2 linked regions of the Drosophila melanogaster genome follow. The protein of the gene in region 1 interacts with the protein of each later gene in a pairwise test. Each region holds a gene or a part of one and is shown in the gene's direction. Other genes may lie near its edges.

Region 1 (6,055 bases):
GTTCCTGCAGCATAGAAGTCTTCGAGAAGCTGTAGTGGAGCGTAAAGTCCGAAATGTGGCTTTCGACCAAATTGGATTTGGAGAACGAGACCACCGGGCGACCAATGGTATCCAGATAGGTGTGCACCAGCTCATTGGGCAATCGGCTGATGGAGTAGGGCGTGGACAGCCTAATGTCACTGGATCCCTCAGGCAGAATAATCTTGATGGTGGCCTCATCGATGGCCATATTGTCGTAGATGTGATCGATGAGGTGCATCTTCAGCTGGTACTTGTTGCCATCGTTGAACATGTACTCGTACGAGGGCACATTGTAGCCCAGAGTGTATTGCGTTTTCCAGCCGCCGAAGAGCGGGAAGCGCGGACGCAGCTCCAGCTCGATGAAGTCGCGCACGGCGTTCATGTTGGAGGTGGAAATGTTGCCATTGGTGTCGCGGTAATAGACACCAGATGCGGATGCTGGCAGGTAGGTCTTGTACGACTTGAGGGCCGCCAGTCCGGAGCGTCCTTCCTTCTGGAAATCGTAGCGCGAGAACGAGCCCTTCAGCTTGGCCCCGGTGTGCGTCATCTGAATAGACTCCTGGACGGCAATGTTGCCCCAATGCGATATCTCCAGCGTGCGTTCCAGCGTATTGACGGTGACGAATGGTGCGGAGTTCTCATAGTGGATGACTAGTGGCTCCTGGCTGAAGGCTGCACGAATCGAAAGCGTTAGAACAGACGGTTTCTGCTAGGCAGCTATTACTTACCCTCTACGTTTTCGTAGGGTCCCAGGGTGATCTTGTTGGAGGACACCGAAAAGGGTTTGACCTGGGTGTGCGACAAGATGTTCGAGGAGCTGAGCTTGACATTGGTCTTCTGGCTGTTGGTCCTGTACTTGGAATAGAGGTGCAGATTGCCCGTATATTTCACGAACTGCTTGTCGTTCTGCCGTATCTCCTCCGGATGTGGGCGGATGCCCTTAGAGGCCACGGTCTCGACGATGAACGTCTGCTTGGCGGCGGCCCTGGGGAAGGTGAACGTGAAGCTCTGCTCCCCCTTCACGGGCTCATTCCGCTTGAATGGCACACTCTTGTCGCTAGCATCTTTTACGTCAATGTACGCCAAACTGGGCTCCGATGTGAAAAACACGTATTCCACAATCGGCTTGCCGGCCGAATCTTCCGCCGAGATCTTGGTGGTCGTCTTTACCAGCTGCGATGTTAGGTCCAGCGTTCGCTCCACATTTGTGTTCACTATTTCCCCGTTGGCAGTGGCCAGGCAGAGGAGTGCCCCAAGCGCCAGATAAATAACAAAATTCGTAGCCATGCTCGCCTCAAATTTGGACACGTACATTGGAAAATCTCGAAGCGTTAGGGCATATTTAAGACCATTCAGCCGGCAAAGCGGCTCAGCGTGACCGTGTCACGCATTCGTACTTTTACCAGCCACTGCGCAGAATTATCAGGGGTATTCCATAAATATTTTAATTTTTATTCTTATAACAGAAAAAATATATAAAGGGCAGTAACCAAAATAATAGCACTTCTAAATAAAGCTTATTTTGCATCAATTTAAGCACAAAATATATAATAATCATTTATAAAATATTATTGATATATTTTAAGTTCTGCATGCATGTTTTATAGCATACATAATTTTTGTTGTGTTTTAACGATTCTCATTGTTATATTACATTATATTATTATATTATCTTGTTAGCGAAGCACTTATCAAGTACTGACCTAACCTAACTTTTGGCTGATAGCAGTCAGCTGACTGGGCGCCATTTCAATCGATTGGCAGCAGAATAAAACTAATTTTGGAAAGCACCCCACCAAAGTTCGTTATCTATTACCCTTAGAACAAGAATACACGCCGTTGTTACGCCACTTTTGTGCGACTCATGCGATTCTCTATGCCATTCATTATGCCGCCCAGCAGTAAATATGAATAATATTAAATAATTCCTGTCATCATCCCTTCGATTGGCGAGTCGAGTTGGCTTAAACACGCATATGCAATGCAATCCGGAGAGAAGAGACCCCACATAATGCGATTGCGTGAGTTATACGGATGGGGCTTTTTGCCGACTTCAATTTAGTCGACGATTGGCACTTCGAAAACGAAGTTGTATTCGCCGGGGTGTGAACTGCGGACTCTTGGCTCCAACCAAGTAAATTCGAATCCAGAATTGTGCCATTTTCTCTAAACACACACACACACACACACACCCGCACGCACATACACACACCCGCACACACAGAGGCCGCGTGTGTGAAAATATAACGAAAATGCAGTGAGAAATCTGCACTTCTGACGGTCAATACATACAATTTATACATCTTTCACCTGTGTATCTGTATCTGTATTCTCGAAAATATGTAGCTATGAAATAGTCATACGAATGCTTTATGATTGCATAAACAATTAGAGGCGAAATGTGTATGTACGCGTAAGGATTTGCCGAGCAGTCAGTGCAAAAAGAGCAGAAAAACGGGAAAAAAGTGAGTTTTCCTCCATCAATTTCTGTGTATGCATTTCCTCCAAAATATATACATATATCTGTATGCATATATGTATGTTTGTATCCGTGACATGTGTTTTTTTTCTGTGCATAAAATATTAGTGAAGAAAGAAATTGAATTCCTCCACTTAAGTCAAGATTATCCCAAAAAAGAAAAAACATGATACAAGTTTCAAGTTGTTTGCGTGACCCATACATATAAATATCTTGTATCTGCGAGCTATAAAACATACATACATACTCCACGGTGCATCGTTGTTGCCACAAATATTTTTAGAAATACACATTGGACATACATACATACATAAATACAAATGTACTCATAAACTGAAGTTCGTTGCAGGAGGACAATGTTGCTGCGGGTATAAAGTTGAATTAGAAAAGTATACGATCCGCGGAGCCTCGAATTCGGAAATAATGGAACCGAAAAGATGGCACTTGCATTTATCATGTTTTTTGCTACTCCTTAGTTCAACTTTTTCTGGTAAGCAAAGGTCGCCAACTTTATGAATCGTTAAACGATTTTTATCACTTTTGCGCTAAGTTGTATGCTATAAATTGGAAGCGAAAACCTTCGATTGCGTTTTTACTTTATTTTGATTGCTTTTGAAGGTAAATAAAAAAAAATATTAAATACCAAGAGAAATTAGTGAACGAAAAATTTTATTTCTATGCAAAAGTAATTAAAAATAAAACGAAAGCTATGAAAACGAAAGCTATGAAGGCATAGATAAAAGATACATTTTTAAGTTTCATTTTTACATTTTACATTTTTAAGTTTTTTTTTTTTAACATTTCACCGCAAATCACTTTGGATTCATTCATTTCATGTGATTTTTGACACATTTATATTAAGAGATTTTGTTTAATATTCATTGAACAACCATTTCAGATGTCGGGAAGATCACTTCGTCTCAAAATCATTTTGGTAACACCTTACAAAGTCAATTTAATACGAAGAACAACACTCGAGTTATTGCACAAAAGGGAGGACTTGCCATTCTGCCCTGTGTGGTCAAAGTTAACTCCCCAGCCACGGTGAGATATATGTTTTTCTTAAAATTTATACATCGATTCTAATACTTAGACCTTTTGCAACATTTCAGGTTTCCTGGATACGTAGAAAGGACTTCCAGCTCCTGACAGTGGGCCTATCCACCCACAGTAGTGACAAGCGATTCTTGGTGGAGCACACGCGGCACATGGGCCACTGGTCCCTGAGAATTAAGGCAGTTCGGGAGGAAGATCGCGGTTTTTACGAGTGTCAATTGTCTATTTATCCAACTCAGTCAATAGTTATAGAATTAAAGATTGTCGGTAAGTGGACGCAGCTGCCTTACAAAGTTCAAAGCTTAACGGGTATTGAATCTTTTCGTTGTATAGAAGCGGTAGCTGAGATTTCTAGTGCACCGGAATTGCATATTGATGAGACTTCTACTCTGCGACTCGAATGCAAACTGAAGCGAGCTACCGAGAATCCTGCATTTGTTTTTTGGTATGAAAAATAATATGAGTTAGATTTGTAAAATTTTATATTATTCTAAACATAAGACCCAACTTAACCGAATGCAATTTCTTCAATTTAGGTACCATGATAGTAAAATGATCAATTACGACTCACAAGGCGGCTTCGTTGTGACATCGATTGGGCAAAGCAATCCGCAGAGTGGCCAGTTTTACCGTAGCTCGCCGGCGAACAAATCGCGCGCCACCATGCCCATGGAGTCCAGCAATGGGGTGCTCAACAGCCTGCTGGGCAGCTCGGATGCTATCAAGGCACCGGCCGCCAATGTGCCCTCCTCCACGCCCTATATGACGCAACAGCATCAATCCGCCTATCTCCTGAATCCCTCGGTCAGTGTGCTTACTGTGAAGCAAGTCAATTTCCGTCATGCCGGCAACTATACATGTGCTCCATCAAATGCCCGTCCTGCCAGCATTACAGTGCATGTTCTAAGGGGTAAGACCGCCGCCGGTCGATATTTAAATATATGTCATACTCATTGTAATTATAATAGGTGAGAAAACGGCGGCCATGCAGCACGCCAATCGGAGCATTTTGGATACGGAGACCAACGGCAACGGCACCTTCGGATTGATCACATTGGGTGGACTGAATGGAACTAGCGGCGTAACTCTGGCCGGGGGAATCCTCTACTTCTCTGGGCTGTTCCTGCTGATGGGCGCGGTGGTATTCGATCGATTCTCGTTGGCGGCAACTCACAAGGTATTCGTAGCATTTATAATAGTCACTATGCATAGCTGAAACTTATAATCGATGGTATTTGGAATGGAGCAACTTCAATCATTCGAGGATATTATATTTGAGAATATTTGTTTTAAAATAGAAGATTGTAAATAGATCATTGACATACCATATTGAGATGCCGGCGTGGGCATGGTAAGACATTTAAAGTAATCTAAGAATAAACTGTAAATAGACTTCCATTACATGCAATGTATTGAATTGAGAAATAAGATGAGAATTCACGAACTTGTTACCACAAAACTTATAAAATGCATACCTATGCCAATAAGTCATGGGGGATTGAAAACCGCATATTTTGATGGTTCATAGTGGTACGTAAGATATAATGTATGCTTAGATGTTCATATTTATTGACTGGTACTGGTACTGACATTTTAATGTTACAAACAATGGAATTAGCGTAAAATGATAATGATAAAGCCATACAGATTTGTTACCTAATAACTCGGAAAATTTGATCGTCACCTTTAAACTGTTATTCTGCTCAGTGTTCGATATTTAGTATATAGATTGATTTATGTAAGCACCTTTAGAAGTATGCTAATTCATATACTGTATGTACAACTGTAAATAAATATTACTTCCGTGAGCGTTTTCAAAAGCGCTGTCTTCAATCCAAAATGGGCAGAAGTGCCAGTTTCGTTTTGTTTACCCTCGAATACGGAGTGCAAAACGACTTTTAAATTTTGTTGCCGACATAAGAACGTTTTAAATAAACAGATCAATTTTAAGAAACCCGCTTCTGGTTAAGTTATTTGCTCTTCAGTTGGGTGGTACACATTTAAAAAATGAATACGAAAATGTTATGAATATTTTTGAACTCATTTTCAAATGTAAGACCCCCTTCCGATTTCTGTTTCATATACCGCAGTTCCGTGAGGTGCAATCTTAGCTTGTCGTTGTATTTGACACAAGTTATCGATAATTCTACATAGCTGAACTACCATCGCTGAAAAATGTTGGCAAAACAAAAAGATGAGATCCGAAATTTTGGCAAGCGCCTTTTTGGGCCTGGCGGTTAGGTCGATTATCTCGCTGTACTCCTACTCCGGCTTCGATTCCCCGCCGATGCATGGCGACTACGAGGCCCAGCGCCACTGGCAAGAGATCACGGTCAATCTGGCAGTGGGGGAATGGTACACAAACAGCTCCAACAACGATCTTCAGTACTGGGGCCTGGATTATCCGCCTCTGACGGCCTACCACAGCTATTTGGTGGGTCGCATAGGAGCATCCATTGACCCCCGCTTCGTCGAGCTGCACAAGAGCAGGGGATTCGA
Region 2 (6,105 bases), on another chromosome or scaffold:
CTCTTGTTTGGAGCATGCACCGCACAACTGTTCGATCTCCTCGACGATTAAATTCATTTTTTCTTCCTGGAGACACAATAAAATAGTTTCACATTGCTAGTGCATCATAGCGGTTGCACAAAAACATACCACTAGGTTAGACAACTTTTTTTGAGTTTCCTCACGCTTTTCACTAGCCTCGAGATCATTTTTAGCCCTCTGAATTCTTGGTATATGGTCGTAGATTAACAAAACCCCCTGATCTACAATCGCACGACACCTGGTTTTCAAGTCATTCATACTTTCGGCGGCTAGAAAATAAAAGTATGCAATTGTAAGCGAAAGAAGGATAATTCAAGGATAACAATTCATTCAATCGAAGACGTAAAATCAAAACGAACTTACGAATACTCTTGGGCAATCGAAGTAGATCATCATGGTGGACCACAAGCTTGCATTCATCGTTTACAGTCAGACCCACAAACTTGAAGACCCCTTGATTCCGGAGCTCCGAACCCATTAACCGGATCTTGTGCATAAACTCGGACTGCAGGTTCTCCAGTTTTTTTTTCTGCGTATCAAAGACCCGCATCCGGTTCATCTCCAGGACACGGCGATGCGACATCTTTTCAGGCTTCTTTACATTTTGATAAGGTTCTGTGGACGGCAATAATCAGAGAATTGGACCACGTTTCAAATATTCGCGATACCCACCGCATGTCGTTGACTTAACCAATTGTGCTGACTGGGCATGCGTCTTTATGGGAACCACGTTCCGCTTGGGGGGATTCAACTCATCGATATCAGTTTTCCGATCGGGCTCAACTACTTTATGCTCGGGCTCGACCCGTCGATTGGGCAACGAATACGTACTGACACACGGGCGCGCTTTCGTCGAAGAAGTAACCCGTTCCAGAGAAGTTTTTCGCGAATGGATAGACGACCGACTCGCTCCACGCCTATTTGGAATGTGACTGAGCCTACCTTTGTTTGGGCTTCCGTCGCCATTCTGGGTGGGAGGAGTAGAGAAGACGCCACCACAAGAAGAAGTGCGAGACTGGGACGGGGATGTAAAGCATTTGAAAAAACTAAACCCTTTTCTTCTATCTCACTCACCCATGTAGCTTTGTCTGAGGCTTGCTTTTCCGCCTTTCCAGCTGTCCTCAGCAAGAATGCTTTGTTACCTAACAAGGATAACGAGCATTTGAAGCACACATTCGTATAGCGTTCAAGGTACATGTACTTACTACGAACTGAACGCGGCGTCACGCTGGAAGAATTCATATCTAAAGTTTCGGAAATCAACGCTTTTTTGTAAACGATTTTTGTGTTCAAAATGAGGAAAAAATAGTATAGAAAATTTGTTTCTAAATATTTCCAGTTGAACTACGTCTAGTGTAAATGGTACAAAAATGCTTTCTGACCAATCCAAACGAGGTGGTTCGTGGAAGTAACATGAATTCAAACTCAGAGCACACTTGTTCAGTTCCAATGTACCCGGTGTTTTTGGGGTCTGTTTGTTTAGAATGAGCGTATGAAAACTAATGGTTTCTATCAACAAATGCGAATCTGCAAAAGAAGCGGAAACTAAGCTAAATGGGAGGGAAAAGTAGAGAGCAGTTTTTCCCTCTCTGAGGTTCTCCATGTAATCCATTCGTCGGTCCCGAATGATGCACATCGTCCATCCAATAATCGACTCGGCGAAATTTGCATTCAGTTGCTGTTCGTGCGTCCACCGAGTAAGTTCTTAGTTCGGATTTCCCTCTAAAAGCATATATTTCGAGATTGTTTCATTTACGATCCATCAATACTGAGTAACAAGAGTATGAAAAAACAATCTGTACCACCTTGCTATTAGTTTATTTTCTCAAAATAACTTAATCAACTGGATTAACATACATGATGTGCTAGTGAAAGTGGGTGCTACAATATAAGTGCAGTACTGAGGTGAAGAAGCCCTAAAAGTGACTTTAATGATTTAGATCCATGGGAAATGGACGTTTGTCACCCCCTTGTATTCGAATTCGCTGTAGACAGTCGGCGCGTTTTTCAATTGAATTTAATCAGTGACGTAGACGGTCTATATAGTACAGACTATATATTGTATATACGCAATGCGATCCGATTTTCAAGGGGTAAACAACCAACAACCCGCCTAGTTCAAGTTCCGCATGGCAATTGAGCTGGCATAATTTGGATCTCAAAGGAAATGGAAAGTGTCTGCGAAAATAGCAATATGCACTATGTGTGACATCACGCAAAGTCATTCAATTGAAGGCTATTTCTACGAATTCAAGTTCAGTTTGAAACTGGAAGTAGGCTCCATTGGTTGCCATTGACATTCGATACCAATGCGGATAATTAAGACAATTAAGTGCTGGCCAGAAATAGTTTTTTCCCCCACAACCACGTGGCTGCATCAAATGATTGTAAATTTGTATTCCCACTCAATTTTGCATTGCAGCTCTTTGAAATGAAAGCTCTGGAAGGTTTCACTATTCTTCTCGCATTAGTGGGTGTTATTCCCCGGATCGAGGGCTGCATTAGGGTCCCACCGGGAGTCACAGCAGCCAAGTCACCGGTGGATGATAACTATGTGCTGTCCGTAAACGGAAATACGCAGAGTTATGTGCCCGGTCAAAGGTATAATGGTGAGTGCATTAAATTAAGCATTAAATTAAATTAAATTTACAAATTTCTAGATTTTTCTTTCAATTCTCTAATCTTTCGCTGCTCGTTTTCAGTTAGCCTCAGTGCATTTTCTGGCTTGTCCTTCATTAGCTTTATGCTGGCCCTGGATTTGGAGAGTGGTGACGGCGATGGTGACGCCAATGCCCTGGGCACCTGGGAGATCGCCGATCTCGCCGAGACCCGTTTCAGTCCGCGCTGCCCAAATCTTGTCGAGAATACCAACACGAACGTGAAGACACGCGTGGATGTGTTCTGGGTGGCTCCATCGAGTCCGGGACAGGGCTGCATCCTGCTGAGGGCTACGGTGATGCAGCATCGAGATGTGTGGTTCATGGATGATGGCTTCCTTACCAAGCGTATGTGCGAGGAGGAGGTGGACGACATTGACACCCAGCCCAGCATCGTGGATCCGTGCTGTGCCTGTGACGAGGCCAAATATGAGGTGGGACTCTTTTAACTCATTATTGAAATGGTATTAACACCTCCTTACTTCAGCTTACCTTCGAAGGCAAGTGGTCGCGTCACACACATCCCAAGGACTTTCCAGCGAATAGCTGGCGCACCAGATTCAGCGATATCATTGGTGCCTCGCACACACTGGACTACAGATTCTGGCAGTATGGAGAGCTGGCCAGCGAGGGGCTGCGTGAGGTGGCGGAGCATGGCTCCACAAGGACCTTGGAGAGTGAGCTGAAGGATCAGAGCGAACACATTCGCACGATCATCAAGGCAAGGGGCATTGCCTATCCGAATGTTACGGGCAAAACATTTGCCGTTTTTCGCGTCGACTCCAACCACCATTTGATCTCCCTCGTATCAATGGTGGATCCCTCTCCAGACTGGATCGTTGGTGTATCCGGCCTCGAGCTATGTCTGCCCAACTGTTCCTGGGTGGAGAACAAGGTGCACAACCTATATCCCTGGGATGCGGGCACCGATAGTGGTCCATCATATATGGTAAGACGATTTCCATGATTTAGTCTTCAGTAGAGTCAATCACGAATACTTTTCAGTCCGCTGACCAGCCACAGGTGCCTCCAGATGTTGTGCGCCGCATCAAATCAAATTTCCCCAACGATCCCCGTTCGCCCTTTTATGATCCCACTGGTGCCCAGATGAAGCCATTGGCCACCCTGCACATCAATCGAAGACGACTCTACGAAAAGAACTGCGAGTCCTCCGATTGTAAGTTAAATGCAACCATATATTGATGTTGTGAATATACATACTATATACTTTAATCCTGTAGCGGAACAGGTACCGCCGGAGTGCGCCACAAACTCGTGGTCCAGATGGGATGAATGCACCACAAAGTGCGGTCCCGGCAAGCAATACAGAATCCGAGAGTTCAAGAACCCTGCATTGGCTTCGGTAATTAAGACGACATATATAATTTGGATCCCATACTATATATACATTTTGACACCTACCTTAGCGTCATCGTTGCAACAATGCCCTGCGTGAGGAGAAGAACTGCGTGGGACACAAGTGCGCTGGCTTCAATGAGGAGACAGCTGAAGGCGGCGAGCCGGAGGTGGCGCCATCACCAGGTAGCAGCGACGATCCCCAGTGCGGTCTGTCTGACTGGTCGGAGTGGTCTTCGTGCACCGTGACTTGTGGAACCGGCGAAATGACCCGATCCCGACACTATCTAAACAAGAAGGCCAAGAAGAAGTGCCAGAAGGCAAGCAGGGCGCGTCTGCATGAGACCAAGATTTGCGAGGCAATGGAATGCGGTGGGGACATCGAGAACGAAGGTGGTGCTGGGGAACCGGAGGAGGAACAGGCCGGTGGCGACGGAGGTGGATCCGCTGAGAAACGCTCCATATTCCGCAACTTCGAGAGTTACAGTCAGCATCGGGAGGATTACATACCACCGGTTTGCGGGGTCACTCCATGGTCGGATTTCTCGCCGTGCATGGGGCCATGCGGTGGACATGGAAAGCGGCAACGTATTCGCAAGGTGTGGAATAACAACCAGGTGTACGGAGTAACGGATCCCAATGATGACGGCCAGGATCCCTGTCGACACATCAAGCTGCACGAGGAGGTGAACTGCACCAATCCTAGCTGCGATACCATTGTTCCCGGCTTCTGCTACGACGAGCTGACCGACAGTCCGTGTCGGGATAACGATGTGGCCAACTTCTGGTACTACGACCATGTGAGTGACCAGTGTGCCATCTATTGGTCGGATCGTTGTGATACAAATCGCAACAAATTCAAGTCGAAGGAGGAGTGCGAGGAGACATGTCGCCTGCCGCGCCACAAACAGGAACTGCAGCACGATGGCATTCCAGCCATTGATTGTCTCGTCTCTGACTGGGTTTCCCACAGTTGCAACGCCTCCTGCGGCGATGGCTTCCAATTGCGAACGCGTCGGGTGCTCCGTACTCCGAAGTATGGAGGCAAGCCATGTCCCAAGCACCTGGTACGTTTGGATCGCTGCTACCAGCGGTGCGATGACATGTACTCAATCAGTGGACGGGGATTTGGAGAGCGAAGGCATGTGGTAAGAGCTCCGCAACCGGAACCGCAGGACGAGTGTCGCTACTCGGAGTGGTCCGCCTGGACACCATGCACCGCCACGTGTGGCGATAATGCCGTTCGCCAACGAACCCGAACCCTAATGAACACCGATCTGAGCTACAAGTGCAAGGATCGCGTCCGCATGGAAAAGTGCGTGATGATGCCTTGCCAGCTGACCAGCAACGATGATCCAGAGCGGTGGTGAACATACCATTAACTGCTACAAGTATTAGTTCTAATCCAACTATGTAATCATTACCAATGGATATCGTTAAATATATGAAAAATTCCAGACTACCTACACTAGCTCTTCTCGCAACAGATTAAATATGTATTAAAAACAATAAAACAGAATTGTGTTCGCGTGGTAATTCCAATTCCGATTGAGTTTAACCTTGACCCAGTTCCATTAAGCAAACAGTGGCCAGTTTACGAGTGATTTTTCGCCGGGTTGCAAGTTCAAAGAACCCGGGCACAATTCATCAATTGAAAAGCTTGCCATAAAAACAAACCATTCCTAATTGAAGACAACTCAATCAAGATGCCATAAGCTGTCAACGCCGAGAGCGCCATTTAAGGGATAATTGATAAATTGGAAATGCTCATCAATTAATGGAGATGGCTAGCCATCAGTTTTGGTCAGTCGCCGTTGAGCCTCGACCCAGTACGGATCGCTAAGATTGAGAAGAGATGCTTCGCCATATCGTGCTCCTCATTCTGCTGTCTTCCGAAGTCAGAGGAGTCTGCAATCGGATACCCCAAGGTGCCAGTGGCCCTCGATCGCCTGTGGATGATAACTTTAAGATCCTTATCGATGGCAATCCAGAGACCTATGTGCCAGAACATCAGTACAATGGTGAGAGTCTCGAGTTGTCCTGAAGCTTTTACTTCAACATTATTATCATC

What was found. Proteins that work in one complex are often made in the same cells at the same time.
Region 2: the proteins of dpr19 (region 1) and CG17739 interact in a two-hybrid assay, tested with the Drosophila melanogaster proteins (one large-scale study listed by BioGRID).

What each region holds. Positions count from the first base shown.
Region 1 is NT_033779.5:10,374,399-10,380,453, forward strand, and holds dpr19 (defective proboscis extension response 19), read left to right. Parts: upstream 1-1,769; 5' UTR 1,770-2,155; exon of another isoform or gene 2,156-2,486; intron 2,487-2,849; 5' UTR 2,850-2,923; coding exon 2,924-2,990; intron 2,991-3,398; coding exon 3,399-3,544; intron 3,545-3,612; coding exon 3,613-3,823; intron 3,824-3,889; coding exon 3,890-4,001; intron 4,002-4,092; coding exon 4,093-4,466; intron 4,467-4,524; coding exon 4,525-4,772; 3' UTR 4,773-5,507; downstream 5,508-6,055. Other genes in the region: CG33303 (uncharacterized protein), read right to left, coding at 1-693, 750-1,335; gny (garnysstan), read left to right, coding at 5,751-6,055.
Region 2 is NT_033778.4:12,304,836-12,310,940, forward strand, and holds CG17739 (uncharacterized protein), read left to right. Parts: upstream 1-1,692; 5' UTR 1,693-1,718; intron 1,719-2,443; 5' UTR 2,444-2,452; coding exon 2,453-2,630; intron 2,631-2,723; coding exon 2,724-3,112; intron 3,113-3,165; coding exon 3,166-3,627; intron 3,628-3,683; coding exon 3,684-3,855; intron 3,856-3,919; coding exon 3,920-4,041; intron 4,042-4,105; coding exon 4,106-5,404; 3' UTR 5,405-5,577; downstream 5,578-6,105. Other genes in the region: salto, read right to left, coding at 1-66, 130-290, 385-636, 694-1,036, 1,096-1,163, 1,227-1,263; CG30203 (uncharacterized protein), read left to right, coding at 5,890-6,055.